Linked DNA regions of Mus musculus. The protein of the gene in region 4 binds, or shares a complex with, the protein of the main gene of each other region. Links are inferred from orthologs where the notes say so. Each region holds a gene or a part of one and is shown on either strand. Other genes may lie near its edges. The genes, in order: Mapk14, Map2k3, Nod2 and Akap13.

Region 1 (7,816 bases), on a different chromosome or scaffold from region 4:
ACAAACCATTGCCGGGAGCTGGGGAAGAGATGCTTAGTGGTTATGAGCACTGGCAAGGGCTTCTGGTGGCTCACAACCTTCTGTAACTCCAAGTCCAGAGGATCCAATACCCCCTTCTGGGCTCCAGAGGCACCAAGCACTTTGTGGTGTAGAAATACACATTCAAACAAAACATTCATACAAATAACAATAAATAAATCTAAACACATACACACACACACACACATACATACACACACACACACACACACACACACACACACACACCCTCTTGCCAATCATATTTGGTGGGCACTTTTTGTTTATTTATTGTTTTTCTTGAGAAAGGGCACTGAGTTCACTCTGCTGAGTGAGGCTAGGTTGGCCTCAAACCTAAATGCTTATTAAGACTGGTAACATCCAGTTAACTAGTCTACTTTTAGTCACAAAACAGTAAATGGGAGATAGGTCAGCTAAAGCAGCTTGGTGGCCCACTCCTATGACCCTAGCATTAGAGAGCCTCAGACAAGTGGATCAAGAGTTCAAGACCAGAAGGCTGTGTCCTGAAGGAAAGTAGGAAGAAAGGCAGGAAGGGAAGGAAGAGAGACCGGCTATTATTACAACTAATAGTAAAGGCCCAGCCTTCTCGGTCGTCAAGAGTGAAAAGTCATACCTAATTGTGGAGTTTTATTTTTTTTCCCTGGCTAATTAAAACTAATGGTGAATGGCTATTAATACTTAAAAAAAAAAAGCTTCATTTATTTTTGTTATATTTACTGGAATAATCTTGTCCTATATAGCATGCTAAATCAGATTTAGTTAGAAGAAATTACCATGTTTAGCTACAAGTTTGTTACATGTCTACATGCCGATCATAAACTAAGCATCTCCATGCCTACAACACAGCAAGCAACCCATAAAATGCAGCCATTAAATCCATCCATTCTTCTACAAGCCCAATGACAAAATGAGCTGTCTCGTTCTGTACTTTTAGCTCAAGAATCTAGCCTTGATTCTAGCCAGAGTTTGGTGTTATGTAATCCAGACTAATGAATAAATAGCTGTGAATGATCTAGAAGTAATTCTTAATTCTCACTCCCAAGGCATGGTACCCAAGTGTGTCCAGCAAGGGGCTGGAGAGCCCCTTTCCCCAGAGGAAAGACACTGACGTTCCCGTTTGTATTTCCTTAAATTCACCACAAAGATTTTCCCCTATGTCCCAAACCACACAATCAATGCTTTGCAACAATGTGGTCTTAATGATTTTGCTTGTTTCCCTTTTCAGGCAGTAAATACAGTTCCTTAAAACTTAGAGAACTTAGTTTAGTTCCCTTTACACTTTTAAAAAGAAAGATATTTGTAAAAACAAGCCAATTCTCAATTTCTAGACTCTCATTCAACTTTGAGTCACAGTTGGTAATACTACAGTTTGCTGCTTGTTTTTTGTTACTGTCGCTCACTGCATAATACAAATTAAAATTAATCTTAAACTTAAAAGAAAAAAATTAAGTTACAAATCAAAGTGTATCATGTCCAATTCAGAGATTCCTTTTTTGAAGAGACTTCAGGTCCCTCCTGACTTATTCCACTGTCACCAGTAGAACAGCCTCCTCTCTTCTCAAGAGCTCAGTTTAAATCCCCCTCAATTATATCCATTCAAATGGACTTCATTATTCCCCAACATCAAACTATCTCAGAGAACGAAGGTGAAGAAAGGGAACACAGGCCTCAAAGTGGATTAAAAAAGAAATTCAAGAAGTCAGGTGTAGTGTTGCAAGTCTTTAATCCAGGCACTCTGAGAGGCAAAGTCCAGCTGATCGGAGTTGGAGGCCAGTCTGGTCTACAATGTGAATTCTAGGACAGCTCATCTCAAAAAACAAACAAAAAAGTATTTTTCAGTCACACCTAAAAAGCTAATTGAAAACACAATTTCAAATAACTTGAGAGAAGTTAACACTTGCAAATCTAACTGAAGGTGACATTTGCTGGGTCACACACAATTTCAGCTATCTTTTCCTCATCAATAGGCTACATAGTAAATCTCTACGCTAGAAACTACACCTCTCTGGAATGTCAGGCAAGGAACTAAACAGTGGTTGTCTCTGGAAGACCAGCATGCAGGGCTGAGAGCAGAAACAGGATTTTTGCTGCATACCTTTTGGGCCCTTATTTCAAGCAACCTGCTTTGTGTGGTGCACTGCTGCTGGGGCTGGAATGCAGGGCCTCCCACAGGCAAGGCCAGGGCTGTCCCACTGCGTTCCATCACTGGGCCAGCACTACCTATGTTTAAGAAGCTGTTTGGTAGAAGTCTATTTAATTGTGAGGTTGTGCTCAATTATATTACACAGAAAACAGCAGCACTAGAGGAAGTGGAGTTGGTTTCACTGTGGCACTTCACTGTGAAGCTGGCTCTTCTGCCAGGACAGTGGTGTCCACAGGAAACCTTGCAAATTCACCATCCCAGAAGCCCCTGAGCTTCACTCCCTGAGCATTCAAATGGAAACAAACGCCTGGTACTGTACCAATTAGGAACGAAGAATGGAGATACTTAAGGAGCTGGTAACTATTAGAGAAACAATGATGCAACAGATCAATCACAAATACATGAGAGATATTATTGACATTTCCTTTAAAGTGTAAACTGCCATTCTGTAGACTCGTGAGAAAGATGTCCAAGTTGGTATCATCTGCAACATAGCTTAAGCAGCTTGAGCCAGCAAATGCAATGTGATCTGTTGCTGGACACAATTGCACAATCTCAATTACCCAGAAGATTCTACCAAACAGGAAATTCACGATATGACTTTAAGTAACACAGGACTCATACTTAAAGGTTAGCACATCCAGAAGCCTGGAATTTGTTCCAAAACAAAAACCATTTCCCAGACTCCTTCGGAAACCATGAATGCATGTAAGTCACTAAAACACAGGAAGGGCTCATCTACTGAATCTATCAGATTACTATCAGATAGGGAGCTCTAAAAGATATAGTAAAAGATACTGCGTGAATCCTTCAAAGTTCCTTAGAACATTTCTGGAGTGGAAGTTTTATGGTAGAAATTTAATCTGAAACCTGCTCCCAGGGCCATGCATGGTAGCAAAAGCCTTTATTCTCAGAGCTGGCAGACAAAATTTGTTGAGTTCCAGGCAAGACAGGGAGAGCCATAGTGGAACTAAAATAGGCCCCCCCCCACTCCTACCCCCCTCCCCCACCCGGTGTTAAGGAAAGCTAAAAAGCATCGTTTCCTATGTTCCAGGATCTCCCGAAAACCACCACGTACCTCGGTACTTACAAGCTGATAAAACTCCGCAAATCTTCTAAGGGACTTAAAAAAAAGAAAAGCACCCCCATGAATTACTTCAATTAAAAGCTATCTACACCTCCAGCTCTAGTCCTACCTTCTTGATCTTGAGGGGCGCCCCTCTGCTCGGTATGGAAAACTGTTTTGTCAAACAATACTGAAATGAGCAGTGGTATGTGACTAAGCGGCGAGCTGGAGCGTCCTTGCAAGGCGCTGCCACCCTCCCTCCCCGAAAAGGAAATACGCTTTCAACCGAATCGGAAACACACCACGCAAGCTGGCACCGTGGTCCCCGAGATAAAGTCGGTATTTTAAGCTCTTCGGGGTGCTGCTAATTCAAGTGCGAATCCCAAAGGAACGTTTCCTGAGACAGGATTTTTCGATGGAGGCTTGCAAAAATGGGAAAAGGGGGAGAAAAAAGGAAAAAAAAAAAAATTCCGGGAAAGGAGCGCTTTCTCTTGCAAGTTTCGTTCAGGTGACCGCAGTCCCCGGGTCAGGCTTTGCCCTACAGCTCCTCGCTGGAGCTCCGCCCAGCTCGTCTGCTCCCCGGGGCAGGGCTCCCGCGTCCCGAGTGGCGGTACCCGGAGGCAGGGTCCTGAGGCCGCGCTGCAGCAGAGGACCCCCGGGAGGGCCAGTCTTGGGAGCAGGGAGAGCGCAGGGTAGAGAAGCATCCCACCGCGTCCGCAGCTGACCCGCTCCCGCACACGGCTCGCCCCCGACCTGCGTATGCAGGGCGAGGGGTGCAGGACACGTCCCGCTCCAGCTGCCCCCTGCACCCCCAGACACGCCCGGAGGAGAATTCCTGCCGCTGGGCGCATCGCTGAGCTGTGGGGACAGGCCTGGCCCTCAGGCATGCAGGGCCACCCTGCTTGCTCCACCGCGTCCCCCCACCCCACCCCTAACCCGAGGCCCGGCGACACTCACCACACCGAGCCATAGGCGCCCGAGCCCACCGGGGACAGGTTCTGGTATCGTTCGGGCACCTCCCAGATGGTCTTGTTCAGCTCCTGCCGGTAGAACGTGGGCCTCTCCTGCGACATCTTCCAGCGGCAGCAGCGGGGCGAGGAGGTGGCCGAGCGGGGGCTCCTGCCTGCAGCCGCACGCTCTCCTCTGCGCCCGCCCGCGGCAGACCGGACCCCGCGCCCGCCACCCGCGCAGGTGTGGAGGCTGCGACCCGCCGCCCCTGTCAGCCGCGGCGGCTCCTACGAGCGTCGGCAAGGTGCCGGAGCCGGCTGCACGGCTCGAGGCTGCTCCCGCCGCGGTCCTCCTGCAGCCGCTCCCCGGGGAGGGAGCGCACGCCGACGCCGCAAGACACCCGCTCGCGCTTCAGCGCCCCGCTTGGGCTCCAGTGGCGGCGATCCCACAGGCAGCGGCCGGGAGCCTCTCGCGGAACTCTCGCGAGAACAGCTCCAAGGAGGCCCCGCTCTGAATCCAGATCTTACCCAATATGGAACCTGCCCACGGGGCGGGGGGTCGCGAGAAGAGCGCGCAGGGCCGGCAGATCTCGCGAGAAGAGGGACGCGGCTTGGGGAGCCGAGGCAGGAACTCTCGGGGACTGGGCTCCCCGGGGCGCCAAGGGTGGAGGCCGCAGCGCGGGGCGCGCGCGCCTCTCTGTGGTCGCACGGGCGAATGCCTGGCGCCATGGCGGAAAGCCGCTGTGACAGCGTCGGGGAAGAGAGCCAAATGATCTTTGAACTCCGAGCAACCTGCTCACTAGAGTCGTCAATTTCCAAGAACAACTTGAAAGAACAGACAGGCCCTGTCCAGAAAGCTGTCGCATTCCGGTCTGCTCAAGGACAAGTGGCTCACCTCGGGATGCTGGTGAAACCTGCCCCCTAGGCAAATATTAGTCTTGCCTCAAAGCCCAGGCTCTCCCTCCAGGCGCTCCTACATGTTTTCAGGCAGAAGTGGCAGAAGGAGGTTCCAGGGACCCACAGGGAGTTCCAATGCACGAGGTCAGAGGTAGACATCATGAATGGCCACTTCCAGGCTGGGGACCAGCATTTGCAAGGCCCTGGGTTCAATACCCACTACTGGAAGGGGAAGGTACACACACACACTGCAAGTAGGTCATTCCATTTCAGGAAGGTCTTCTCATTTATTTATTTATATTTACACCACCTGCAATTCCGGCATTTGGAAAGACCAGAAAACCCTTCATATACATGCATACATATATATCTATTTACACAGCCTGTAATTCCAGCATTTAGAAAGACCAGGAGACCCTTTCATACTATTTATTTATATGTACAGAACCTGTAATTCCAGCATTTGAAAAGACCAAGAGACCTTTCTCTTATTTATTTATTTATACACAACCTGTAATTCCAGCATTTGGAAAGACCAGGGGACCCTTCTTATTTATTTATTTGTTTATTTATTTATTTGTTTATTTGTATTTACAAATCCTGTAATTCTAGCATTTGGAAAAACCAGGAGACCAAGCCTCTGCTGTGTAGTGATGAGACCGTATGTGCAACACCCCAAAAACCATCACTCGGGTTTGAGACCGACTCTTGCCCTTTAGAGCCATCCAAAGTTTAGAAATTTAAAAGAAAATTGGGGGGTGGGTATTAAAGACTTAATTCATGCCTCTGAGAGTATGGAGAACTACTAGGGCGAGCATTCTGACCGCATCTCATTTAGGTAAGTCTGTTGAGCTTTCTTAGGCCCTGGTTCTAGTCTCTACAAGATCAATGCGACCCTGCATTCCCACCTAGTGGAATCTTCCGTAGAAGCCGAGAAAGCTAATAAAAGTGAATGGGGAAAGTTAGACCCGTAAGAACCCACATCCACCCATGCCTACACCGAGCAGGAGAAAGGGGAAATCTTATTCTCGTGGCTATTTCTAGAAGATCCGGGTATGTGGAGGGCAGCAGGGACCCCTTCTCCTCGGCCCAGATGCCATCCTCGCCCGTCACCCGCACAGCCGGAACGCCCGCGGGTTCTGCAGCAACGGCTCCGGAACTGCCGGCCTCCGCGTCCGCAGCGCTGCCGCCAGCCAGGCTGGAGCCGAGTCTGTCCCCAGCGTCTGCGCTCCTGCGGGCCACCGGAAACCAGGTGAGCCTGGGTCGGGAGCGGTCCGGAGCTCTGGCTGCCGCCTGGGAGCTGACAGCCCGCTCGCGTCCCAGAGCGTGGCTGCTTGGGTCACCTGCAGAGCCAGGAGTGTCCCAGGCACAAGGAGTGGGTGAATGAATGAATGAATGAATGAATGAATAGCGGTGGTCCCTGGAACTTCTCTCTCCTTATAGAAAGGCTGCGTGAAACCGAAATGGCAAGAGACAACATGGAATTTGCATACTGGATCCTTTCAAAAATTCGCATCTCTGTGATGTCCACAGCTGAAGGAACTGGACTGTGGGCCCCCCACACTTCCACTCTCTGTGTCCTCATCAGGCCGCAGCTCAGGGCCCCCTTTGCTTCCAGACTTTACTGTTCTGCTCATTTTGTTCTCTCTGCCTTAAGCCCACCCTCTGTCCCCTCTCCTCCTTCTCTGTCTTCTAGTCCTTATTGCTGGACTTTGGGTCCCCCCATGAAGTCTCCACTGTTCAGCCCAGTAATGAGGATCTCTCTACCACACCTGCTTGGTATCACACTGACTAGCATTAAGGGAAGGTGTTTATGTGACCTGTCAGCAGCTGGAGGGCTGCCACCTTCAAGCATCTCCTGCCACTAGACCATCCCCAATACATTCTCCACCAAAACTGAGAGTCACAGGCAATGAGGTTTTTGGTTGGGAAATACAAGTGCTTTTTTTTTTTTTTTTTTTTAATTGGAAGTGAATTTTGTCTTATGGTTTTAGAAAGCATGTGAAAGATGACTTAATTAGGTAAAAGATATTCTTGTACCTTAACTAATTTTGAGGGTTTCTGGTCCTTTGAGTCAAAATTTTATAAATCGGGTTACATTTTTTTGCATTTAAAATATCCCAAATAGAGATTTTAAACGAATCAGTGAGTGGGTGAATGGATGGATGGACAGATGGCTGAGGGTAGCAGAAGCAAAAAGAGCTGTGTTAACGTGCTTGTATTTTTTTTTAAGTGTTTTTTAGCAATGAAAGCCTGCTTAAAGATAAAGGCTGGGACTACAGCTCAGGGTAGAGTAGCCCTGCATGTGTTAGGCCCTCAGATGGGTCCCCAGCCCAGGAAGGAAGAATCAAAAAGAATTAAGGCATGGATGGTGGCTTACACCTATAACCCAGCATTGGCTAGCTGGGGACAGGAGGAGGAGGATGCCAAAGCCCACTACACTCCACCTTTGTGGGGAGCCTGTCTCACAATAAAGACAAGTAAGAGAAGTAGCGGGTAGTGCAGGGAGCCTCCAGGCTGCTCCACCCTACTGACTGCTCCACATCAGGCTCCCCAGCTCTGCTGTGCCCCTGCTTCTCTTTCTGTGTACACAGGCTCTCACTATGGCTGGCCTGGAACTCACTCTGTAGACCAGGCTGGCCTGGAACTCACAGAGATCCACCTGCCTCTGTCTCTGGAGTGCGGGGATTAAAGGCGCCTGTGCTGCCACTATACTGAGCTCCC
Region 2 (7,376 bases), on a different chromosome or scaffold from region 4:
AATAAGAAGACCTCACCACCATATCCAGCAGGCAGGTATGGGCATGGCCTTGACAGATGGGGCAATTGAGGCCTGGCAAAAGGCAGAGCTTATAACATCTCCCAACCCACTGCCAGAGACACAGGAGAGCAGAAAGTGGAGGTGATGTGGGTGGGTAGCAGTATAAGCTCTCTTAGACTGGCTTGTCAGGGCTGGGGGTCAGGCTGTGACTCTAGATATTCTAAGCAGAGCTGTGTATTTTATTACAGAATATTTTATATTTTGGTTACAGAGAACCTCATGTCAGGAATGCAAACTAGATATCACAGGCCAAAGTGCAGAGAAATAGCTTGCACGCTATGCCATTCTGGGTCCATGCAGAGTTTCTGTAGCTGTCTACCTCTACTCCTAGCACGTGTAGCCAGACGTGGTACCTGGCAAAGACTTGGACCCACAGGTGCATGAGACTCAGGACCTGTCCCTCCAGCACAGGGACAAACCCCCTGCTCCCGAAGGGGTCTGCAGTGAGCCCAGCTGCCTCCCTCGATCTTCTGGTCAGTACTTTTGAAAGCCACTCTGGGCTGGCCCGAATACACAGGCCTTACTGCCTTAGTCACACCCCAAGCTCTATATTGTGCGTAGCTATGGCTGGATCTGCCAGAAACTGGTTTAGATGTGGCTTCAGGAGCTAGGTGGCCAGAGTGAGCTGGTGGCAGTTTGCAGGATGCAGTGTAAGCCTCTGGGAAGGGCAGGCACTTGGTCACTGCTTTCCTGCTCTGTGTGATACCGAGGAGACTTGTCACATCTACCTCTCTCATCCTGCTTCTCTCTCACATTTTCTCCCCTGGTGGGGGTCAGAGCCCCTGCTTCCTGGAGAAGCCGAGACTGAAAGAGTCAGTGCCTGCTGCCAGTGGTGGGCGCTGAGCCACATGGCCCTACAAATAGGAGGTGGAAGTCCGTTCATGCCGGTTGTGCACCAGGCCATGTCTTCATTGCCCCAGTGGGTGTCTATGCTCTGGTTTGACCAGTGGGCAAACTGAGGCTCTGAGTGTGGAAATACAGTGAGCAGGGATTAGAACTCAGTCTCAGGCACTCCCCCACGAACGTTGACCCTCGTGGAAGGACACAGTGCGGCTAGGGTTATTGTCATAAAGTCCCACGGCCACAGAGTGGACGGCTTCCGCAGCAGGTATCGGAGAGGAGGGTAGGCAGCTCTCATAGGCCACCCAGGAAGGCTCTGCCTGTGCTTGCTTTCAAGCCTCTCTTTGGCTAAGGGGTGGCATCTCCCATGGCTCCACTTATCTTCCTTTTCTGTACCCGTTTCCTCTATTATAAGGATACCAGTGGGGTTGGGAGAACACTTACCTGGGATTCTTCCCCTATATGTGCACATGCACAAATGCAAACACACCCACCAGCCTTGTCACAGGATTAGGGCCAACCCTAATGATATCATTTTGATTTAATTGGCCACAAAAAAACCCTACCATTTTCCAAATAAGGTCACATTCTTGGGTACTGGGGGGTCAAGACTTCAGTATATAAGTTTTGAAAGACACAGCTCAGCCCAAAACAAGAGACGTAGGACACAAGCTTTTGTGTGGTTGGGAACACTGGTACTGGGCAGACGACATTCCATTCCTGGCAGTAAGAGGCCTGGAAACTCATGCATAGCTGAGCATTTGAGTGTGTGTGTGTGCGCGCGCGCGTGCTATAGGCACAGCTGTCTGATGCCTCCCAGCTGCAGGGCAGCTCCCAGGAGGGTGGGGCTTGTCTCTGCTATTGTGGGAGGAGGACTGAACCTGCTCCCCAGACTGAGTGGGACCATGCTCTGCCTACCCCAAAGCCCTGAGGCTCTCTGGGTACTGATCATACTGACTCTCGGACGTGTGTGTGTGTGTGTGTGTGTGTGTGTGTGTGTGTGTGTGTGTGTGTGTGTGTACCAGAGATCTGAGTGACCTCTGTCCCTAGCTTTGCACAGCCCAGGGCTGAATGTTGATCAGATCCCCGTCTTTTCTCCACTTCAGGAAAATCCAAAAGGAAAAAGGACTTACGGATATCCTGCGTGTCCAAGCCACCTGTGTCCAACCCCACGTGAGTCTGCCTTAAGTTTCTCACTTTGTTGAGACTTGGAGAGGCCTCTTAGTGGAGGCCAGGGGTATGAGTAAGAAGCAGGAATACGGGGGTCAGAGGTGGGTGAGAGAGCATTCTCTTCTCATCCCGCCCTGGGTGGCTCCAGAGGGTCTCAGGAGCATTGGCTGTTTGTCCCATGCCTTCCCAGTCCTTGTCTTGGGGTCTCTGTCAGGGCTGCACCGTTACACTTTACCTTGTGGATGCCTAACAGTCACTGGACTGAGGTGACTGTAAGCTGCCCCCATGGCCAGTGTGTTTCACCCTCACCCCCCTATAGCTCCTTCTCTCAGAGAAGCTTGTGGATCTGCTTTCTCCACAGACCCCCCCGGAACCTGGACTCCCGGACCTTCATCACTATCGGAGACAGAGTAGGTGGTAACTAGACACTGAGAGGCCTCCATAGGGCCACTGAGAGGTAGCTGGAGCTGGGCCTCAGGGAGGAGCTTACCGTAGCTTATCATGCTGGTGGCTGTGGCCCTGGGCTATCTGCCCTTAGACCTCCTCTCTGGAAGAAGTACATTCCACCTGCCTTATAGGGAGGGGTGTGAGGAGCGCAGAGCTGCCACACTGCCTACCTCAGAGTGTGGGCTATGAATCCCACATGAAATCTGTACCACCTGGAAGCACCATGTGGGACATGTAGACTCCTGGGCTCCCCAGACCCCAGGTCAGACCCTAGACTCCATACTGTCCATACCCCTGAGTGCCTTGGAAGGCCACCTACTATTGAGAAGCCTGATTTGGGGATGTGTACCAGGCAGAGTAGGCCGAGAGCCTCTTCTTGGAAGATCCTCCCTCCCCAAGCCTTTGTCACTGCCTGGTGTTCTGTTAGTCCAGTTGTGTAATCCCATGTCTCTCACTCAGGGGAGGGAACTCCCACAAAGGGTCAGTAGATGATTGACTAATAGCTCCCTTTGCTGAGATGTGTGTGGAAGACGTCTCCCATAGTCTCCGAGTTTTTGGTTTTGCACCCATTTTATAGAGATCAGCGGTAGGGTCAGATTGGCTCAGTTCTTTCCACTGGGTCACAAAGCGTATAGTACATGGCGTATAGTAGCTGCGAGCTCAAATCTGACAAGCTGGCCCTCTGCTTTTCTCTGGGTGAGGGACAAGAGCCAGTTTCCAGCTTGGTGCCTACCAATCACCTCTCCCTTTGCCTCTTAAGAACTTCGAAGTGGAGGCTGATGACTTGGTGACCATCTCAGAGCTGGGTCGTGGAGCCTATGGGGTGGTAGAGAAAGTGCGGCATGCTCAGAGTGGTACCATCATGGCTGTCAAGGTAAGCAGGGCTTCACCCTACCTGGAGTAGCACTGGAGGAGGCACTGGCTGAGCTTCAGAGTGACTGTCTACTTGTGGCTCTGTCCCTCACTGTCATCACCAGCGTTGAGGCAGAACTTCTCAGACAAGTCAGGGCCATGGATTCCCCAAGGTTCCTGGCCCTCATGGACTGGGTTAGGGGAACAGCCTAATCCGTGGCCCTGACATGTGGCTCTCCTATAGCGCATCCGGGCCACAGTGAACACACAGGAGCAGAAACGTCTGCTTATGGACCTAGACATCAACATGCGCACGGTCGACTGCTTCTACACTGTCACCTTCTATGGTGCCCTCTTCAGAGAGGTAGGCTCTGTCTCTGCCCACCTCTTGCCAATCACGACTGCCATTTCAGTCCTATTGTGTGGAGTTCCCGGGACCTTTGGGTATAGGGGAGTTATACTCAAGGTATAGGGAGCACCCTTCACCTGATGCAGCTTGGCTGGGCTCTTCTTGAGAGGCAGGCTTTCCTGTTCCTGACCCGCTCTGCCTCAGGTTCCCTGTCTGAAGATTAAACAGGTGTCTGAGCAGTTCTCTTCAGGTTGTGCTCAGGGGCCTGGAGCTCCGGGGCAGCTGAGATTTCTGTTTGTGGTCGTTTGCTTTCTGTTAGCCCCGTAGTGGCCATTCAGGGCAAGCCCCCAGGGGAGAAGCACTGTGAAGGGGTGAGGATCTGGGCTAGAGTCTAGGTGTATGTTAGGGTAGAGGAATGGAGGGTAAAGCAGGGTGCAGGGTCTAGGAGCAAGAGCACAGAGCTGCCGTTGGAAGCATATAGTACGCACCAGAGTCAGGATGGAACTGGGACTTCCCATGATGACCTGCCATCTTGGAGTTCTTGAGTGGTCCGTGATGTTTCTCTGCCCTGGCTTTCCTTTGGGTCCCTCTCAAGTCCCAGTGGTGGCTCAGACCCCACTTTATGCATCTCATGTGGTGGACTGAGCAACTTGTGTAAGTGTCAGCCAGCTCATCCCAAGGCTATGCGGGTTTGCTGGGGAGAAGAAAGGTCATTTTCCAGTGAAGAAATTCGGTTCTTGTCCCTTTATGTCCTGACTTAAAAGTCTCAGGACACACTAGGTTCCCGATTGCTTGGGAACACTGTTATACTAGGGCACAGAGCGGGGAGACTAGGGCGGGGGAGCATGAACTGCATGGTGAGGTGCCAGAGAGGCCGATCTGAAAGGCAGACGGCGATGGCGAGGGGTGAGAAGTGTGGTGAGAAGGGTCATCGTGTCCCTTCCCAGGTGGAGGCTGGACCTGGTGCTCACAGCGAGGCTGTTAAGATGAAGGCTGGAGAAGCCTGGGAGTCTGTAGACTGCCCAGGGCTGGGCAGCACTGGGGGACCAGCTAAGCACTGGATGTTCTCACAGGGGGATGTATGGATCTGCATGGAGCTCATGGACACTTCCCTGGATAAGTTCTACCGGAAGGTGCTGGAGAAGAACATGAAAATTCCGGAAGACATCCTGGGGGAGATCGCTGTGTCTGTGAGTGGCCTCGCTCTACCCAGCATGCACAGGACCTGCTGTGTGGCTGAATTTTGGCAGAGTAGCTGTCCCCTCTAAGACTCAGTACTTCTGAAGCCTGAGAGCAGTACCTTGCTGAAGAGGCCCCAGGGATGGGGCTCTTCAGACTGGACTGCTCCCTGCTTCCAAGGTCGTGAGTGCGGCTCTCACGTTCCCACCCACTTTGAAGAAAGTGCCGTGTGTCCCACTGCCTTGTACTCAGATGCCGCCTGACAGCTATTGGAGGTCCAGGCTGCTTTGGGGAGATGTTTGCTTTCTGAGCCTGCTGTTTCTAGAGGAGGGCAGCAACTCTGGTTTGAGTATTGAAACAGGGCGGGCAGTCGTATCAAGGATGCCCTTTAATCCTATTTGCATCTGGAAGCGTTTAAACCACCCTGTGCCTCAGGCTCTTTTTTTTTTTTTTTTTTTTTTTTTTTTGTCTAATCTCTTAGAGGTGGCTCATGGGGGAGTGAGAGAAACTTGGGGGCCTGGTAGGTCTTGGTAAAAGCCCTTAGGAGGCACTGCTTGGGATTTGTGGAGCAGGAGGAAGGCAGGAAGCTGACATGTTTGTCCTAGGACAGCCAGGATGAGGGACAGATTTGGGGCGTAGGCAGGAGCTGGGGTGTGTTTAGAGGAGATGGGGTTCTACTGCTGTGTTATGATTTCTGTTACCTGGAATAATAGCAGCCCTGCCTCTCCTGCCCCATTCAGATCGTGCGGGCCCTGGAGCACCTGCATAGCAAGCTGTCTGTGATCCACAGAGGTCAGTGTCCTCCATCAGCCACAGAGGCTCAGGGAGGGGCAGACTGTGATATACCTGCTGGGGAATAGGCCGCTTTCTGCATTTGTGCCTTTGGCTCTGCCTGCTGCACTCTGAATAGGAGGAACTAAGTGGATCCCAGCTTTTTCTGAGCTCCATGGCCCGCTTCTCTCTCTCTCTCTCTCTCTTCATAAAGATGTATTTATTTATTATATGTAAGTGCATCAGATCTCATTATGGATGGTTGTGAGCCACCATGTGGTTGCTGGAACTTGAACTCAGGACCTTCTGAAGAGCAGTCAGTGCTTTAACCACTGAGCCATCTCTCCAGCCCCATGGCCCGCTTCTCATTCATATTTACATTTCCTGTGCCGTGGAGCACCTAGGTTGTGGCATGTCACACTAGGACTCTGATACAAGCCCCCTTACCCCACACATGACTATCCTGGACTCTTCTGGGATTCCTTTGCCCCCATGGCCACTAGTCTGGGCTTCCCCCTCCAGGGTTATACTTAATTAAGTATCAGCCTCCCATTAACTTGGTTGCACTGTACCTAGAAAACGAAGGAGGCTAAGTGGACTTCGATGACCAGCACCCATCCCATTCTGTCCACGGGTCATCATTGTTGACTCTTTGGCATGGAACCTTCCCGTCTTTTCTGGGGCATCTTTGTCTTTTTCACATCCATGTGGCCCTTTGCTTGGAGGCTCCTGCCTCCTGTGAGACAGGGATGGGTGGGGCTCCTCATTTGCATGCACAGACCCATCCGCATACCTTCACTCCACCTCATTGTTCACCCACTACCTTCTGCTTGCTGGATTTGTGTCCATAGCAGGTGACGTGCTTAGGTAGCCTCAAGGTAGAGTCTCCAGAGCTCAGATGTTTCTCTTTGGTTGGGATAGGCTGAAGTTCATTTTGATTTGTCATCCAGCCGAGCGATGGGGCCTGGTGCTGCAGATCTCACTGCCGCTGTTTCCTTGGCTAATCCTTGGGGCATTGGGTAGCATGCTGCTGGCCCACAGGGCACTGGAGAAGGTAGCATCCCATTTGGCATGGACTGAGAAAGGTCTGCTCTTCTTGTAGATGTGAAGCCATCCAATGTCCTCATCAACAAGGAAGGGCATGTGAAGATGTGCGACTTTGGCATCAGTGGCTACCTGGTGGACTCTGTGGCAAAGACAATGGATGCTGGCTGCAAGCCTTACATGGCCGTGAGTCAGGGCATCCCCGCAAGGTGGAGACCAGGACAAGATTTTGCCTCTGTGCAGTGGGCTGGCTATTTCCAGCCGTACCTCCAGTCTTAGAGACCCTGCCACCATTTACCTATACTCCATGATCCCTGTTTGGATGAACTTGTGTTCTCTGTTGTTAGGAACATGGGGATCCTTAAGACTGGTGGCCTGGGGGGAAGGCAGGGGTTGGCTCTCGCTCTTGCTGGCCTATATCATGCAGGCAGGAGAACCTAATGGTATTCTGTTTTGGTGTAGAAGAGAAAAGGTCTAATTGAGGGAGCCTTGTTGGGTGTTCAAGCCTTCTGGTCTTTCTTGCAGCCTGAGAGGATCAACCCTGAACTGAATCAGAAGGGCTACAATGTCAAGTCTGATGTCTGGAGCCTCGGCATCACCATGGTACGTCTGGGGCTGGGCTCAGCACTTGCTGGCCTGTTGGGATGGATGTCTGTCTGTATAG
Region 3 (7,811 bases), on a different chromosome or scaffold from region 4:
ATTGATAGCAACACACACATACACACACATACCCTTGACGGAAGGCCCTTGCTTCCTCCTACGAATTCAGCAGCACACACTGCATGCAGCCCCTCTGCCACAATCCTCAGGAGCTCAGCCTTCAGACCCGAGTGCTGGGGACTCGGTGAGGAAGGGACCATCAGAGGTTTTAGGCACTAAGATCCTACGCGGCAGAGAAATAGGCCAGTTTGTAACTGCCACTGGCCTGGGGCAGAGCCCGGTGTCTTAGTCAGGTTTTTTTTTGTGTGTGTTTTTTTTTGGTTTTTTGAGACAGGGTTTCTCTGTGTAGCCTTGGCTGTCCTGGAACTCACTTTGTAGACCAGGCTGGCCTCAAACTCAGAAATCCGCCTGCCTCTGCCTCCCAAGTGCTGGGATTAAAGGCATGTGCCACCACGCCCACTCTTAGTCAGGGTTTCTATTCCTGCACAAACATCATGACCAAGAAGCAGTTGGGGAGGAAAGGGTTTATTCAGCTTATACCTTCCACATTGCTGTTGATCACCAAAGGAAGTCAGGACTGGAACTCAAGCAGGTCAGGAAGCAGGCGCTGATGCAGAGGCCATGGAGGGATGTTTCTTACTGGCTTGCTTCACCTGGCTTGCTCAGCCTGCTTTCTTATAGAACCCAATACAACCAGCCCAGAGATGGTCCCACCCACACGGGGCCCTCCCCCTTGATCATTAACTGAGAAAATGCCTTACAGCTGGATCTCATGGAGGCACTTCCCCAACTGAAGCTCCTTTCTCTGTGATAACTCCAGCCTGTGTCAAATTGACACACAAAACCAGCCAGTACACCCGGAGAAAAGGAAAGCGAAAGAGCACAGGCAAGGAGGAAGCGGAAGAAAGACTTCCTTTCAAAATCTGGGACATTCTAAGATGCTGAGGAGAAGGGGTGGGGGCAGCTGGAAATGGCCTGGGGAGCCCAGGTCTTTCCTGTTAGATTCTGATACCTTCCTCTACAGCAGGCCCACACTGCAGGCTAGGTCTCCCTCAGTCTGACACCCCTATGCTGGCAAAGCACTGGGCTCACTGGAAGCCCTAGGGATGTTAACTCCAAGCCCAGCCAGAGAAGCCTGGGGCTGGAATGCTCTGGGGCTATCTTCAATCTCTAACTCAACACCACATTGCGGACACGCAGGCTGGAAGCCTGGGGCTGACCAGACAGGGAAAAGCCGAGGCAGCGAAGCTACCTGAGTATCTGGCAGCGAAGGAGAGAAGGTCTCCCTACTGTGGCGCTTAGAGTCCTCACTGGCCAAGCATGTCACCTGTACCCTGTACTCAGCCCAGGAGGAGCCAAGGATGGGAAAGAGGCAGATGACAGCAAGGGGCAGCATGAGCTGGGGCCAAATCGTGGACTGAGTCTCCACTGTGCAAACCAGCCAGAGGTAGGGTGCTACTCCAGCACCCCTGCCTGGGTCCTGAGAAAAGTAACCAGTGCCCCTTCCTACTAAGAGAAAAGCACAGAGGTGATGTTAGCACTCTTGCCTGAGGCCTGAGGTACAGCAGGAAGTTATGGGGAATGAAAAGATTTGAGATTGGCCTGGCTCATTTTACCTATAGGAGGCTGGGTAAGACACTTACTGTTTCCTTCTTCTGCAAAGCACAATGAGCCAAAAATCCCAGAGGCATAGCACAGGCAGTCTCTGATCAGGCCAACCCACCCTAGGGGAAATCCCAAAAGCTTCAGCAGGAAGCCTGAGGTGGCAGGCCAGCGCCCAGAAGAACTTGCTAGTTCTTGGCAGTCCTGGCACAAAAACTGGCACATCTACACTGGCTTTCACTCAAAGACCCTGGTGGTGTGATGTGTCTCCAATAAACGTGCTTGCCCAGACAGAAACAACTTTGAGAGAGCAGAAGCCCTCCCCAGATATGTTAAGAGCCTGCCTGCCGTATACCCAAACCATCCACACCCAGGCAATGACATCAGCAGTGTGGACACGGGCAGGGCGAGGCAGGAAAGCTACGTGGTCTGGTACTCTGTCTTCTATTAAAGCTGGAAATTCCCATCTTGCCAGTCTCCTGCAGACACAAGGCAAGACATATCCCCAAAGACCAATTCTGCCAGCCCTCTGCCTCTAAGAAGGCCAACTCCCTATCTCATCCCAAAGAGCTGGAAAAGAAGACCTGGGCTTGAAGCTGTCCTCCTGACAGGCTGAAGAAGTTCTTTATTAGTTAGTCCCAGAATCTCGTTCTTGTACCTTCCTCCCTTGTCAGACTTGCTCTCCCCAGGCTAAACACACTGCTTTGTCATCCTTGCCTTCTCTACCAGGCTAGTGCCACATTGGAGTCACTCTTAGGCTCTGCAAGGTGCAACCCAAACAAAGGGGGTCACTTCCTTTCTGAAACAGAGGGTCAAGGGTATCAACAAAGGCCCATGTCTGTTTCTTGGCACTTCCTTCCTATCCAGGATCATAGGTAGCCTGGTGTTCCTGAAGTTCCTAGCTGAGGACTTTGTTCAAGGGCTGAAATCCCTTTGCAGTGCCCCCAGGCCTCCAGCAGACGGGAGAGAAAGGAAGGCAGCAAGAGGAGAGCAGAATGCAGCCCTGAGCTGTCCTAGTCCTGACTGGCTAAGATCTCCCTGGAGCACTAACTAACTCCTCTCCTGCCCCATGTCTGAGTTGCTCCCCAGGAAACCAGTTCCCATCAGAGAACAAACAGATCAATTCATCCTTCATTTCTGCCCTCCCTTGTCTGGACCTGAACTGCCATTCCCAAATCCACCCCATCTCCTTCATCCCCTCCCACACCCACTACCAGAGAGAATACAAACCATGATTTCCACTTGTTCTGTTCTCTGCCTTTCTTTCTGTCACCTTCCTCCCTGGAGCACTTCTCTGGAAGTCATGAAGGGTTTCACTGATATTCTTCCCTGCTTCCCAGCTGCTCTTTCTATCCATTCTGCCTCCAAGGCTGATTCCTAGTCCCCCACCCCACCCCCAAGTACAAATCACTGATGCGTCTCTGCCCACAGGCCCAATTCCCAACTGTGAGATAACGATGACTGAAATGTTACTGGACACTATTCAACATCATGTGGTACCTACCAACATCTCCAAAAGACAAATACAAAATCAATCACCGGCTCTCCCTCCTATCAGCTCCCCTCGCAGACGAAGGCAGCCCCGAACTCTCAGAGTCATGCTTGACGCTGCCTCTCTCCAGCATCACAGACTATCCATCCAACCTCCAACAGACTCCAAATCTGAAAGCCACAGGTTCTCTCTATGCCATGATGTAAGCTCTATAGCCTCCCTTCATGTTTCCCTCATCTGCCATGAACCTCCATAGGCAGTCTCAGCCTCACAACTTGATGAACCCTGCCAAACCTTAAGTCAGAGCAGGAGCCTTATCTGTTCATGGCTCCCATCAGAGTCAAAGCGAAAGCCAAAAGCTTTTATGGCGAACTCAAGCCCAATACAAGAGACCTCAGATGCCACCCCTTTCCTCCTTGCCACCCACCATCCACCCCCAGCCCTCCAATTCATCCCTCCATTTACACCCTGCTCTGGTCTGTCATGCTTCTATAAGCTCCTCCCTCCCTACCTACACACACACACACACACACACACACACACACAGTGGGGGCTTTCTCTAGCTCCCCCTAGATAGTCACATGACTTGCCAATCCCCTCCTTAAGACTTTGCTCAGTGGTGACTCTCTCAGAGGTGCCTTCCTATGCTATGCAAAACTGTAGCCCCTAAGCCCTGTCCCAGCTTTTTCTCCCCACAGTACTTCCTATCCTCTGAGATGGCATGTGTTAGCATGATGTATTCACCATATCCCTGTGCATCACCCAGTGTACAGATGGGGTCTGCATGGGCTGAGGATGTGTTTGTTCCACACAGCGTGGGGGCGGGGGTGGCTGTGGAACCAGAGAGTTGCAAGGCACAGACTTTGGCCAAACAGCTATAGAAGCCACTTTGTTAGCAGTAAGCGTCTGCTCACTGGGCCACCCTACAATGCTGACCTGGGTGGGAGAGAGGGGACAAGATGGAGCCAGTGCCAGCTTGGAGCTGCATGTGGAGGCCAACTGGCATTAAGTGGCCAAGAAACTGGGAGCCCCAAAGGCCTCACAACAGACTGAGCAGACCAGAGCCAATGGGGCTGACTCTTTGGTCTTCAGGAGGGCAGAGATGAGGGAGGGGGCATTTCCCCTGCAGGGTATCAACCGTGGGTGAGATTACATACAGAAAAGCCAATGTCCCTGCCCCAGGCCAGGACCCTGCAGGTTCTGAAAAAGACACAGAAGTTAGAGAGAAGGGGGTGGGGGGAACTGAACCAGGAATAGTTCCTGCTAAGACCCAAAGCAGGGTTTTCTCCCTCTGGGTAAGGACCTCACCTGCAAGTTTCCCCTCCGTTGTCCCAGCCACCTCCAAATCACAGCCTCGCCTCAGACTTCAAAGGATCCTGGGGGCTTCAATTTGGTCCCAATACCCTATTCCTTCTCAGTTACCAAAGCCTGCCGTGGCTCCCCTCGAGACATCCCTTTCCTTTTACAGCCTATCTACTCCGTCGATGCTTCCAGGAGAAACAGAGTCCCTTTCAGGAGCTCAGCCAGGCCAGCTCCAGAGCCAGTTAACAGCGTCCCCGCGATGGGACTTGTGACGGTCGTGATCTCCACAAAACCAAGCGCTGTTGCCCGGGAGTCCTCGGTCTCCCCGCGAGAAAACCCTCCTTTCCACATATCCACCCACCCCGATCACCCGCAGACCACAGAACCAGAAAGCAAGCACTCACCGCCAGCTGCAGCGTGGGGATCCCTCGCCAGTTTTGCGGTGACTCCACACTAGGACTCCCTCAGTGATCTACTCCCGCCCATCGCCCCACCCACCTAGCCAGAGACCCCGCCCACTCTGGCAGGCTGGGAAGGGCGGCCACACCCCTCCTGATTTCCCTCTAGGGACTGGTGAGACAGGTATCCGGGAACAGGCCTGCCTGCAGTGCTTTGTGTTCTGCCCTTGGGGACCGGTTTCAATCACAAGGGAACCAGAGTCCTGGGAACAAGAGCTAGGAAAGCCCTCAGTGTCAGTAGGAGCCGATGCACCCTCTCAGGGATTTGTAAGCCCTTAGTCAGCTACAGTCTTAATGGAGGCATTCCCAGAAGGCCGTGCTGGGTGGTGTTAGGGCATTTAAAGTTCCTCTTTTCCCCTTGGTTGTCAGTCCCATGCAAGCTGAGGAAAGAGGTCTAAGTGTAATAGCACTTGCCTCCAACGTAGCCTCCTAGGCTGGGCTCTGCCACCATCCTAATCGGAATTCGCCAGCGTTGTTTAGTTCCCATTCTTAATGTTACTTCTAAAAAGACTTGTACATGAACTCTCATTTGAGAGAGAAAGGGAGAGGAGAGAATAATTGACCCAGACATGAAATTGTGTATAAACCACTTCCAAGGTATGGTTGAGGTTCCGAAGATTTGTATTGTAGATATGAGGAAGGGTACAGCCGGAGGCATCTGGAAGAGTCCAGAGCAGGGAAAATAGCAGCTTGAACATGGTCAGCGGGGACATGACCATGAGAGGAAGAGAAAGAGACAACCAATGTGGGGTGGGGAGAGGGAGAAGAGAGAGAGAGAGAGAGAGAGAGAGAGAGAGAGAGCCAAGAGAGAGCACAGCCAAATGGCAGGGTTTTATGGGAATGAGAAGTTGGGGGAGGGAAGCCCACAAGCTGGAGAAGCTTAGAGTTGGGATGTAGGGTAAGAACTATGGAGAGCTACAGGTTATGAGGGAGCCTGGAGGCCACCACAGGCTTTGGTGCTTTGGTATGCTAATAGATACTCCCTTTAGCCTTCTGTCTGGGGAGTTCCTTCTGAAACTGACACTTAGTATTGTGCTGGCCTCTGCTCTCAGTAAGTCTCTTAACCCCACCTGTAGGGCACTCCTCTTGTCCCAGGCTTACGGATGAAGAAACTGAAGCACAAAAAAATTCACTAGCCTGTCAACACCGTGATGTGTCCCAGGCCTCAGGCACCAAAGACTGTGCGCTAACCACTGCCTCACACTGCTTCCAAGTTAAGTACCTATGCAGTACTTATGCGGATGAAATAACCCAATACAAGCTGAATTAAAAGTAGGGAAGGTTTATTTGGGAGCCGCTCTAGAGCAGGTTCACGGATGCCAAGGAATAGGGCCAGGGAAATTACCACACAGACAAGGAGGGGATGGGGGTGGAGGCAGAGAGATAAGAAGAACGAGCATGCAGATGTCTGGATTATATAGGGAAGAGCCTCTGGGGGAGGGGGAAGCCCAGCCCCTGGGCTGGAGAGGTCAGGGTAGAGGGTGAGTATTCCATCCATACCCAGAAATAGGTAGGAACTGAAGGATGCTGGGAGAACCTGGAGACCAGGTCTACTTTGATGTGTTAAATAGACACCTCAGCTGCTTGTCCCCTGTTTGAAACAGTTTCAAACCCAACAGTTTTGATTTTAAATAGTTTACATTTATTTATTGTCTGTGGGTATTATGTATGTGGATGCATATATGTCTTGGCACATGAGTGGAGGTCATAGGACAACTTGGAGGACTCAGTTCTCTTTTCACCATGTGGGGTCCTGAGGATCGAATTTAGCTTGTCAGGCTTAGCGTCAAGTACCTGTCTACCATGGAGGAGGAGGGGTTGGGGAGCATGGTGGAAACCTAGCTCATGGCAGAAGAAATGCATGGTAGAGACTGTTCACCTCCATTCTGGACCAGGAAGCAGAGAGTTACAGGAACCAGACATAGCCTTCAAAGGTCTGCCCATAGTGATCCATTTCTACCAGCTGCCTCCCCCCCACACACACACGCTTTCTAAAGGCGCTTCTGCAAGGAGAATCTCACTGTGTAAAAGCATTGCCTATCAATAAAAAAAGCCTATTGCCAATAAGCTGAAGCAGGAAATCGGAGGTGGAACATCCAGGAGAGAATTCTGGGAAACAAACATGAGAGATTCGCCCCAGGATACTGAGGAGATGGACATAAGAAGATGAGGCAGGAAACCAGCCATCACATGGCTGAACTCAGATTAGAATAAAAGGGATAATGGAGTTATGAGCTAGTCAGAGAACAAGCCAAAGCGTATGGCTTAAGCATTTATTAATAAATAACTGGTCTCAGAATCATTATTTCAGGGAACTAAGTGGCTAGGAGGAAAAGCCTGAAGTTATAGTCTGCAGCTTTATACCAAATAGCACACCTATTGGACCCAGTATTCAAAGCACGAGCCTATGGAGCATTTTACATTTGAACCATGACGCTGACCGACAAGTAGAATCCAGAAAACTCCAACTGACACGTGTTCACTCACACTCTTTCAGGATCGCATTGGCTAGATTTATGTCACCTTGACACAAACTAGAGTCATCTGAGAGGAGAGAAGCTCAATAGAGAGAATGTCTCCATAAGACCTAGTGGTAGGACATTTCCTAGTGATGGACATGGGAGGGCCCAGTCCACCGTGGGTGGTGCCATCCCTGGGCTGATGGTCCCGGGTTCTATAAGAACACAAGATGAGCAAGCCATGGTGAGCAAGCCAGTAAGCAGCACCCTTCTGTGGTCTCTGCATCAGCTCCTGCCCCCAGGTTCCTGCCCTGCTTGAATTCCTGTCCTTGCTGCTTTGGATGATCAACAGTTATATGGAACTGTGTGTGAACTAAACCCTGTAAGGGAGTGTTTTGATCAGGAATCTACATCTGAATTCTGAAGGTTCAGTTCCCCAATTGGTTCTTGATTGATCAATAAAGATGCTAGCAGCCAGTGAGCTGGGCTGCATAGGCGGGACTTGCGGTTTTCCCACAGGCAGGCTAGCAGACACAA
Region 4 (7,376 bases):
TCCCAGATTGTAACTGAGGCTAGAGCTAAAGACGTTTCAGTCGACTGTCTACCCAGTGTCCATTTCACCACTGACTTCTCATGAAAATCTATGAACACTCTTGTGACAGTACATTCATGGACTACAAAGGTGCAGACTAACATCTGAAACATGGCAGTCCATTTTGGACACCATTATAGCAAAAGCTATTTGGACAGTGAAAACAGAAAGCCACTGGTAATGAGGTAAAGCTTCTGGGACTACAATCTCTTAAAAATAGGTTTCCAACCCTGATCTATGCGTAGGCTTAATCGACAAGACTAGACAATTTCAGTAAACTATTATTTCTTCCAAAAGCAAACAGTGGAAAAATAAACAAACAACCCAGATAACCAACCAACCAACCAAAAACCAGAAATATTTTTACTTCTGAAAACAGCTTTTTAAATTTGTTGTTTTGTTTCTGGTATCTAACAGTCTGCCCCATACTGACCATGCTCTCAGCAGACCCTAACAGTCATAGTTTCTTCTACTGAGCCACCACACCGTCAAGCAAAAGCTAAGGCAAATCTAGTCTTCTGACATTCTTTAAGGGGGGGAAGATTGCTTGAATAGTCATATTTTACCCTGATATTACAAATACAAATGGAAATGCTGTCTCATTTTTATTTGGTTGCTGATAATCCAGCGACACTAGTACTTTGGCAATAAAACACCCCGTCTAAAATACCACAGTATCTATCATCCAAGAATAAAACATTAAGATCATTCACTCTAACAGCAAGTGTGACCCTCTAAAAGGTCTTAGATTGTGAAAGTCACATTCCTAACAAAAGAACATTCAAAATTCTTTGTCTTTTCCTTTATAATTATACAACCTTACTAGCAATTTAAAATAGGTAGACATGTTTGCTTACTCAGAGAATGAAAATCTGTTAGCTTTCATACAATTAAGTTTTATTTTGAAGAATCTGATTAAGGAATCCCTCCAGGAAAACGTTTCTGAGAGAATAACTGTGTGTATTATAAAAGAGGGGTATGGTTAGAATGTGATTTTTAGCATAACCCCAACTTTCCTATGCCCCAGCAATGGGAGCTATGTACCAGCTACAAAAGTAAACACTGATTACTGAGACTGCAGAACTGGCTTGGTTTAGTCAAGCACCGACAATCTTGGTTTGCTCAGCACAGTGATCAATCAATGCTTTTGAAGAGGCAAAGGTTCACATTGCCTTCTAACAGGCTTCTCCCAAATCAACAGCTGACTGACTCATAAAGCAATCCATGAGTGGAATGCAACCTCCACAAAAAATACCCCTGGCTATGAGATCACATGCAGGTGTTTTTTTTTTTTTTTTAAGGCAAAGTGACCAGGGACTTTCCTCAACCCTGGCTATTTCGTGAAGAAAGCACCAATGTCTTCACCGTGGCTACTTTTTTTTTTTTTTTTTTTGTAGAGCACCAAGCCCGTTATAAGTCCTTTGGGTAACAAAACAAGTAACTCACCGACACAAAATATATCACAGCAAAATCACATTAACTTTTAAAACTTCCTTCTTCAAGCCTTAAAAACTTTGTACCATTTCTTAGTATCTTCACCACAGTTATATATACACTTAAGAACAGACGTCTAAGACTCTGCCAGTTTCCTTCTCTCTCTCCCCCTCCCTCCTTTTTTTTTTTTTTAACCTTTTCAGATCCAGTGCTACAGACACACACTTCATAGTTCCCAGTTACTAGGATCAAATTGTGATCACAGAACAAGAAGGAGAAATAATCCCATCCAGGCTGGCCAAGGACAGAGCACCCAAAGAAAGGAAAAACAGCCAGGCATCAGCTTACAGTCACTCCCATGCTTCTGAAATGCCAACCTGCCAAGGTCCCCAAAATAGACTTGTTGTTGTGCCTTTTTAAAAAAATTAGAGACCTCATTTCAGTGTTAAGATAGAAGCCAGCCTGAAACAGTACTCAGTCTAAAAACTGAAGTCACCAAGACCCCCACATCAGCTTCCTTAGTCATGTAACTGCTGCTCTGGAAGTTGGGGTTTAAAACAGTCCAAAAGCCCTTCATCTGGGCATAGTACTTACCGTGTTTGAACCCCCTTCTCCAGAAACAATTTCTTTATTTTTGTTCATCTCTCTTCATACCCCATACCCACAATTCTAACATGTACTATTCACTATTCTTAAAAGCACTGCCAACAGTTAAAAAAAAAAAAAAAAAAAACAAAACACCTATCACAAAAGCATCAGAGCCACAGTACAGGGTAGCATGTGGTGGCGGCATAAACGTCTGCATCAACTGACCTTCCGGACTTCAGAAGACAAGAGTGACAGCCATTCCGAATACAGTTTCGGCTTCAGTCTCAAAGGCCATAAGAAGTTCTATCCAGTGAGTTCATTCCACTGAGCAATGGTGGCTTCTCGACACTCTCTTTAGGACATAGTTACCCATCGATGGAACAGGCAGCTTGTGTTGAGCAATCTGCTTAGTGCAGCTGCTTCACCGAGATAAGCAGACACCAGGTCTGCCTGGTGACAGCAGCGCAGCGGACTGGGCTTGGGCGGAAATCCTGTATCCTATCCCCTGTGCTGTGCAGGACCCTGAATTCCCAGACTCTGCCCAAAAGCAAAGCAGCAAACCTGGAGGTCTGTTTCTCAGGCAGGAAAAGGAGGAAGAGTACACACCCCCAACTTAAGCAATGACCTAATATCACCGTTTTAGATGTTCATTTAATTCAGTACTTCTCAAAAACAGCTGCTCATGAAGCCGGCCCAACTTTAAATTCTCTTACAATACAGACAGCTATGACTTGGAAAAGTTTCCAATCTGTAAACAAAGCACATTCATTTCAGCGCTACATTCTGGGGTTCTAAAGAAAAGAACTAAGCTGTTTGATTATCTAACGCCGTCTGAGATCCATGTACTGTCTTCCGGATTTAGAAACTGCAATGGCTCCAGTGTGACAGAGAAGGTAGGCTTGAAAAAACAACAACAACAGGAAAGCTTTGCACCTGTAATACAGGAAGTAAAATCTGTCCAACCTAAGATGACACGTGTTTTCTGACAGCAGTGACTATTAACTTGGCAACTTACATGACTGAGCAAGTAGGACTACAAACCAACAATATCGACATTCTAGTACACAACAGAGACATGATTCTTAAGCTGTTAAGTCTTATAAACTGCCTTGCTTACCTGGTGCTGACTCAGGTAGAATAATTTTCTCTGGTTCTTCTGTCTCAGCACCACACTGCCCGGTGGTGTCTTCGTGCGTCTTCTCTATCTGCGGGGTCTCCCCAGGCAGGAAAGCGCATGCACTCTCTGTGTAAGCATTCTCTAGCTGCTTAGTCTCTGGACTGGAGAGTGACGGATTCTGGGTTTCTACTTTAGCCATCAGTGCGTTGGAGGCCCTGACTTGCCTGATGACGGCCTCCACTATCCTAGTGGCGGTCTCCTCTATGGAGTCTGCTCTGGTAGGCACATCTGCAGCTTGGGTTGAGACAGTAGTGGCATTACTTTCCTCTGCCGGGATGGAAGCCTGTGCCACTTGCTTCATGTCAGCTTGGGGGACATTGTTATTGATCACTGAGAGCCCTGTCTCTGTGGGGAGGTCCCTGGCAAGAGGCTGCATTGGTTTTTCGATTGGGGTCTCTTTGGAGTTACTCGTGGCACAGTTAAGGTCTGTTCCCTCCAGCGTCTCTCTCTTGCAATCAAGTGGTTCTATCTCTGGGGTTATGACTTCCTGTAAGTCAGTGACACCTTTGTCCAGGAAAGCTTCTGGCAAACTTGGAGTCATTTGCTTCTCTTGGTTTAACAACTCTGAAATTGGGATGTCTTTGATACAGTGTGATGCATCCTTTTTTCTGGGCTCAGCAGTAGCTGGTGAAGCATCAGCCACTGTAACATCCTCCATCGCACTTCTGCTTACCTCACAAGCATTGGTTTCCCCTTGGAACTGAGTATTCTCTACGACAACATCGAGAGCAGAAGGCTGATTACAATGGAGTGCCTCAGACGCACCTGGCAGCCCACTTGGCAACAGAGATGAGCCGCTCTGCTCTGTACTCGAGGCTTTCTGCTTTGAATCGGCAGACAGACTCGTTCTTGGTGGCACCAGGCTCTTTGCAGCCCCACCTTCAGTCAGCAGGGAGACCTGTGGGGCCACTTCCTTGATGTCTTTAGTTTCTGTTTTCAGACAGGCAGAGGGTGTGTGCTGCTGTGCTTTCTCCTCGGCACAGAGGGCTGACATAGGTTTTTCACAGAGTCCTGGTATCTCCTGCCCAGAGGGAGGTGTTCTCTGGTCTTCCCTTGACATTTCTGAAGAATGCACGTCTTCTTTAACTGAAGAACAGCTCATTGCTCTATCTTTGCCATCTTGCCCCAGAGCTGTGGAACTTTCTGGAACCACTACACTGACACCTTCTTCAGGCAGAGTAAAGTCAGAAACCAAAGCAGCTTTATCCACGTTATGCAGTAAAGAGTCACTCAGCACTTCAAGTGTTGCTGTTGGGCTGGAACCCTCCTGTTCTCCACCAATGCCTACAGGGCTGGTATTTCCCATGCTGGTCCGAAGCTCTACAGCAGAGGATGGAGGTGGGTCAGTGGCCCCGTCTCCTACCTTATCGGTATCACTCAAATCTCTTCCATCTGGGCCATCTCGACAAGCTGTAGTTCTATGGAGCTGAGGAGTTGCTGTTCCCTTTTCTTTCTGGGAGGGGACAAGAGAAAGTGCGTCATCTTTGGTTACTGATTCACTCTCTGGACTGCTTGCCAGAGAGAAACTGCTGGCTGGAGGTGATACCTGGTCTGGCGCTAGTTCTTTCTCAGTCTGGGAGACAACTGAAGGCAGACGTGGAACATCCTCAAGCACGTTCGTTAAAGGTGTATCTTGCTTCAAACCATTTCCTTGATTCTTTGCATCTGAAACACAGAGATGACAAACCCCCACAGATTTCTGGGTATTTTTCACAGTGTCAGAAGTGACTGTGTCAGCTTGTGGGTCTTCTGGGCAGAGGGTGGTGCAAAGTTCTTGCGTGCTTGGCTGCACCATTGTGCTTTCAGGCAGGCTAGCTTTACCACTGCCACATTCTTCCAACCTGCCACTAGAAGTCACTGTGCTCGGCTGATGTGTAGCCTCAGCAGAAGGCGTGCCAGCCTCAGCTGTAGAACAGAGCAGCGCCTGGCCACTTAGGCTTTGAGCAGGCCGTGCATGAGACTCTGAGTTCTGTTCTGGCATCCCATCTGAACTTGGGCCTGGCATGGTTAAATCCAAAGGTGATGCTGTCTTACAAAAGCCTGCTATGGAAGTATCAGGTTCTTGTCCACCTAAAACCTTGTTTTCTATAGCAGCAGCAGGAAGCACCGGGGAGCTCTGGTCACTTGTGGTTCCCCCCTCACAGCCTCTCTCTTGAGTTTCCATTCCTGGTTTTTCAGTGGGGATTTCTTCAGAACTCAATGCAGGTGAAGCCTCAGCAGGAGTGTTAACACCTACGGCACTGGTGGCAAAGACATGGTTTGTAATATCGGCTTTCTCCATGGGTTCACTTAAAACTTGAACAGCAGTTGTTTCAGTTGTGCTACTGTCTGAATTCTCAAGTCTTTCCTTTGTGCCTTCCCCTACTTGAGGCTTATTGTTCTGGGTGGTAGCATCTGGGGTAAGCAGGCTATGTTCCAGTTCCCCTGCCTTTTCTGGGGCACCAACATCTGTTGAAGAGCTGTCTGGTAGCTCCCTTCCAGAAGAGTGCTGGCATGCATCTGGTTCTGTGACCATGGCATCCTGCAGCACACTGCTCCTGCTGCTCAGTGGCTGCTGACATGTGGCTACTCCAGAATAGTTTGTTCCAGTTACTTCGTTTCTGTTTCCACAGGATGGAAGACCTTCTCTGCCCTTCACTCCACAGTCGGGTACGCTCTGAAGGCAGCTGTCTTGATGAGATGCAGACCCGGAGTCCATGGCAGATGCTGGCTCCGCCTCTTCCCCCTTTCTCCCCACATCTTTATTTTTCTTATGAGAACAGATGACATTTTCTTCCTCAACCATGCTTGACAAATCACAGGAACTTTCAGCCATCCTCCCAGGACTCCTTTGGCAGCACAGAGTGCTCTTAGTTTCTTCAAAAGGAGGATGCTGGTGGTCAGAAGGCTCTGGTACACAGGGAAGGAATAGGCCATCTGTCTCTGGTACACTGGGCACACAAGACGAATCTTGTGCTGTCACCATTAATGGCATGAGATTGTCCATCTGCTTCAAGTTTGTTTTCTAGGAGGAAACCAAAGATACCTTTTAAAAATTGATCATGAAAAGAAAAGTGTGTGTGGGGGGGTGTGCTGACTAAGAGAAAAAGATGTCACTGATACCTGTAAGCCAAGTCTTGTTGGACAAGCACTGTCTTTCCGGGCCTTCTATCCATCTGCCTCAAATACCGATGTAAAGACACAGTATAATCAGTTTTAGAACCCCTTTCAAGCAAAATATTCAGCCACGTAACTACATTCCCAAAATATGTTCAATCCAACATATCTACGCTTTTAGAATTAGGAATTCTATGTATCAGTTAGATAAAAAGTGGGTTTTGTGCTGTCCATACAGCATATTAAAGAAAAGAGAGTGTATACTATTAGCCAAACCAAACTCTTAACTACTGTCAAGGGTGTTATGGCTTGAGGGCACTAAAAATATGATCAAAAATGGTTTTTAGCACCTTAAAATTAATTTAGTTTTGCTTGCATCTTTTCTGAGACAAGGTCTCACTATGTAGAGAAATTTGCTATATAGACTGGCTAGCTTCAAAACGCCTCAACCCTTCCGTTTCTCCATCCTAACTACTGAGATTGTACCCACATTACTATGCATAGTGGAAAGGTTCTTAAAAATTAATTATATGAACAAATACAGCAAATAAGAAAGAAATGGCTAAAACAATCACAGTTCATCAATGTTATAAAAATAACACAACACTGTTATAGGAACTATGAAGACAGCCTAACTATCTAATCTAGTCTTCTGCCCCTGGAATGTGTGTGTGTGTGTGTGTGTGTGTGAGAGAGAGAGAGAGAGAAAGAGAGAGAGAGAGAGAGAGAGAGAGAGAGAGAGAGAGAGAGAGAGAGAGAAAGAGAGAGAGAGAGAGAGAGAGAATGAAAAAACTAAATAAAATTTACAGTTGATCAGAAGTTATTAATTAAGGGGGGGGGAAAAAAAGACCGAGGCGATAGCTCTGCTGAAGAATGCATACTTCTCTTGCAGAGGGCCTGAGATTTCTATTTTCAGCACCCTACATCAGGCACCTTACAAACACTTCTAATTCTAGCTGCAGGGAATTTGATACCTTCCTGTTTGCATTTATCTGCACATACTCCCCCACAACACACATGCATGGGGGTGGGATGTTTGCAC

The links.
Region 1: Akap13 (region 4) and Mapk14 share a complex: the UniProt entries of both Homo sapiens proteins name them as parts of the signaling complex. The link is inferred for Mus musculus from reciprocal best matches to the Homo sapiens genes AKAP13 and MAPK14.
Region 2: Akap13 (region 4) and Map2k3 share a complex: the UniProt entries of both Homo sapiens proteins name them as parts of the signaling complex. The link is inferred for Mus musculus from reciprocal best matches to the Homo sapiens genes AKAP13 and MAP2K3.
Region 3: Akap13 (region 4) and Nod2 share a complex: the UniProt entries of both Homo sapiens proteins name them as parts of the signaling complex. The link is inferred for Mus musculus from reciprocal best matches to the Homo sapiens genes AKAP13 and NOD2.

The regions. Positions count from the first base shown.
Region 1 is NC_000083.6:28,688,245-28,696,060, reverse strand, and holds the start of Mapk14 (mitogen-activated protein kinase 14), read right to left. Parts: upstream 4,720-7,816; 5' UTR 4,322-4,719; coding exon 4,206-4,321; intron 3,494-4,205; exon of another isoform or gene 3,379-3,493; intron 3,306-3,378; exon of another isoform or gene 3,261-3,305; intron 1-3,260. Other genes in the region: Slc26a8 (testis anion transporter 1), read left to right, coding at 5,873-5,930, 6,137-6,344. UniProt on the Homo sapiens protein: Serine/threonine kinase which acts as an essential component of the MAP kinase signal transduction pathway.
Region 2 is NC_000077.6:60,939,874-60,947,249, forward strand, and holds part of Map2k3 (dual specificity mitogen-activated protein kinase kinase 3), read left to right. Parts: intron 1-1,657; exon of another isoform or gene 1,658-1,841; intron 1,842-2,006; coding exon 2,007-2,073; intron 2,074-2,431; coding exon 2,432-2,480; intron 2,481-3,277; coding exon 3,278-3,391; intron 3,392-3,613; coding exon 3,614-3,733; intron 3,734-4,791; coding exon 4,792-4,908; intron 4,909-5,637; coding exon 5,638-5,689; intron 5,690-6,770; coding exon 6,771-6,898; intron 6,899-7,237; coding exon 7,238-7,315; intron 7,316-7,376. UniProt on the Homo sapiens protein: Dual specificity kinase. Is activated by cytokines and environmental stress in vivo. Catalyzes the concomitant phosphorylation of a threonine and a tyrosine residue in the MAP kinase p38.
Region 3 is NC_000074.6:88,644,360-88,652,170, reverse strand, and holds the start of Nod2 (nucleotide-binding oligomerization domain-containing protein 2), read right to left. Parts: upstream 4,825-7,811; 5' UTR 4,762-4,824; intron 525-4,761; exon of another isoform or gene 502-524; intron 1-501. UniProt on the Homo sapiens protein: Pattern recognition receptor (PRR) that detects bacterial peptidoglycan fragments and other danger signals and plays an important role in gastrointestinal immunity.
Region 4 is NC_000073.6:75,607,351-75,614,726, reverse strand, and holds part of Akap13 (A-kinase anchor protein 13), read right to left. Parts: intron 6,243-7,376; coding exon 3,167-6,242; intron 3,118-3,166; exon of another isoform or gene 2,287-3,117; intron 1-2,286. UniProt on the Homo sapiens protein: Scaffold protein that plays an important role in assembling signaling complexes downstream of several types of G protein-coupled receptors.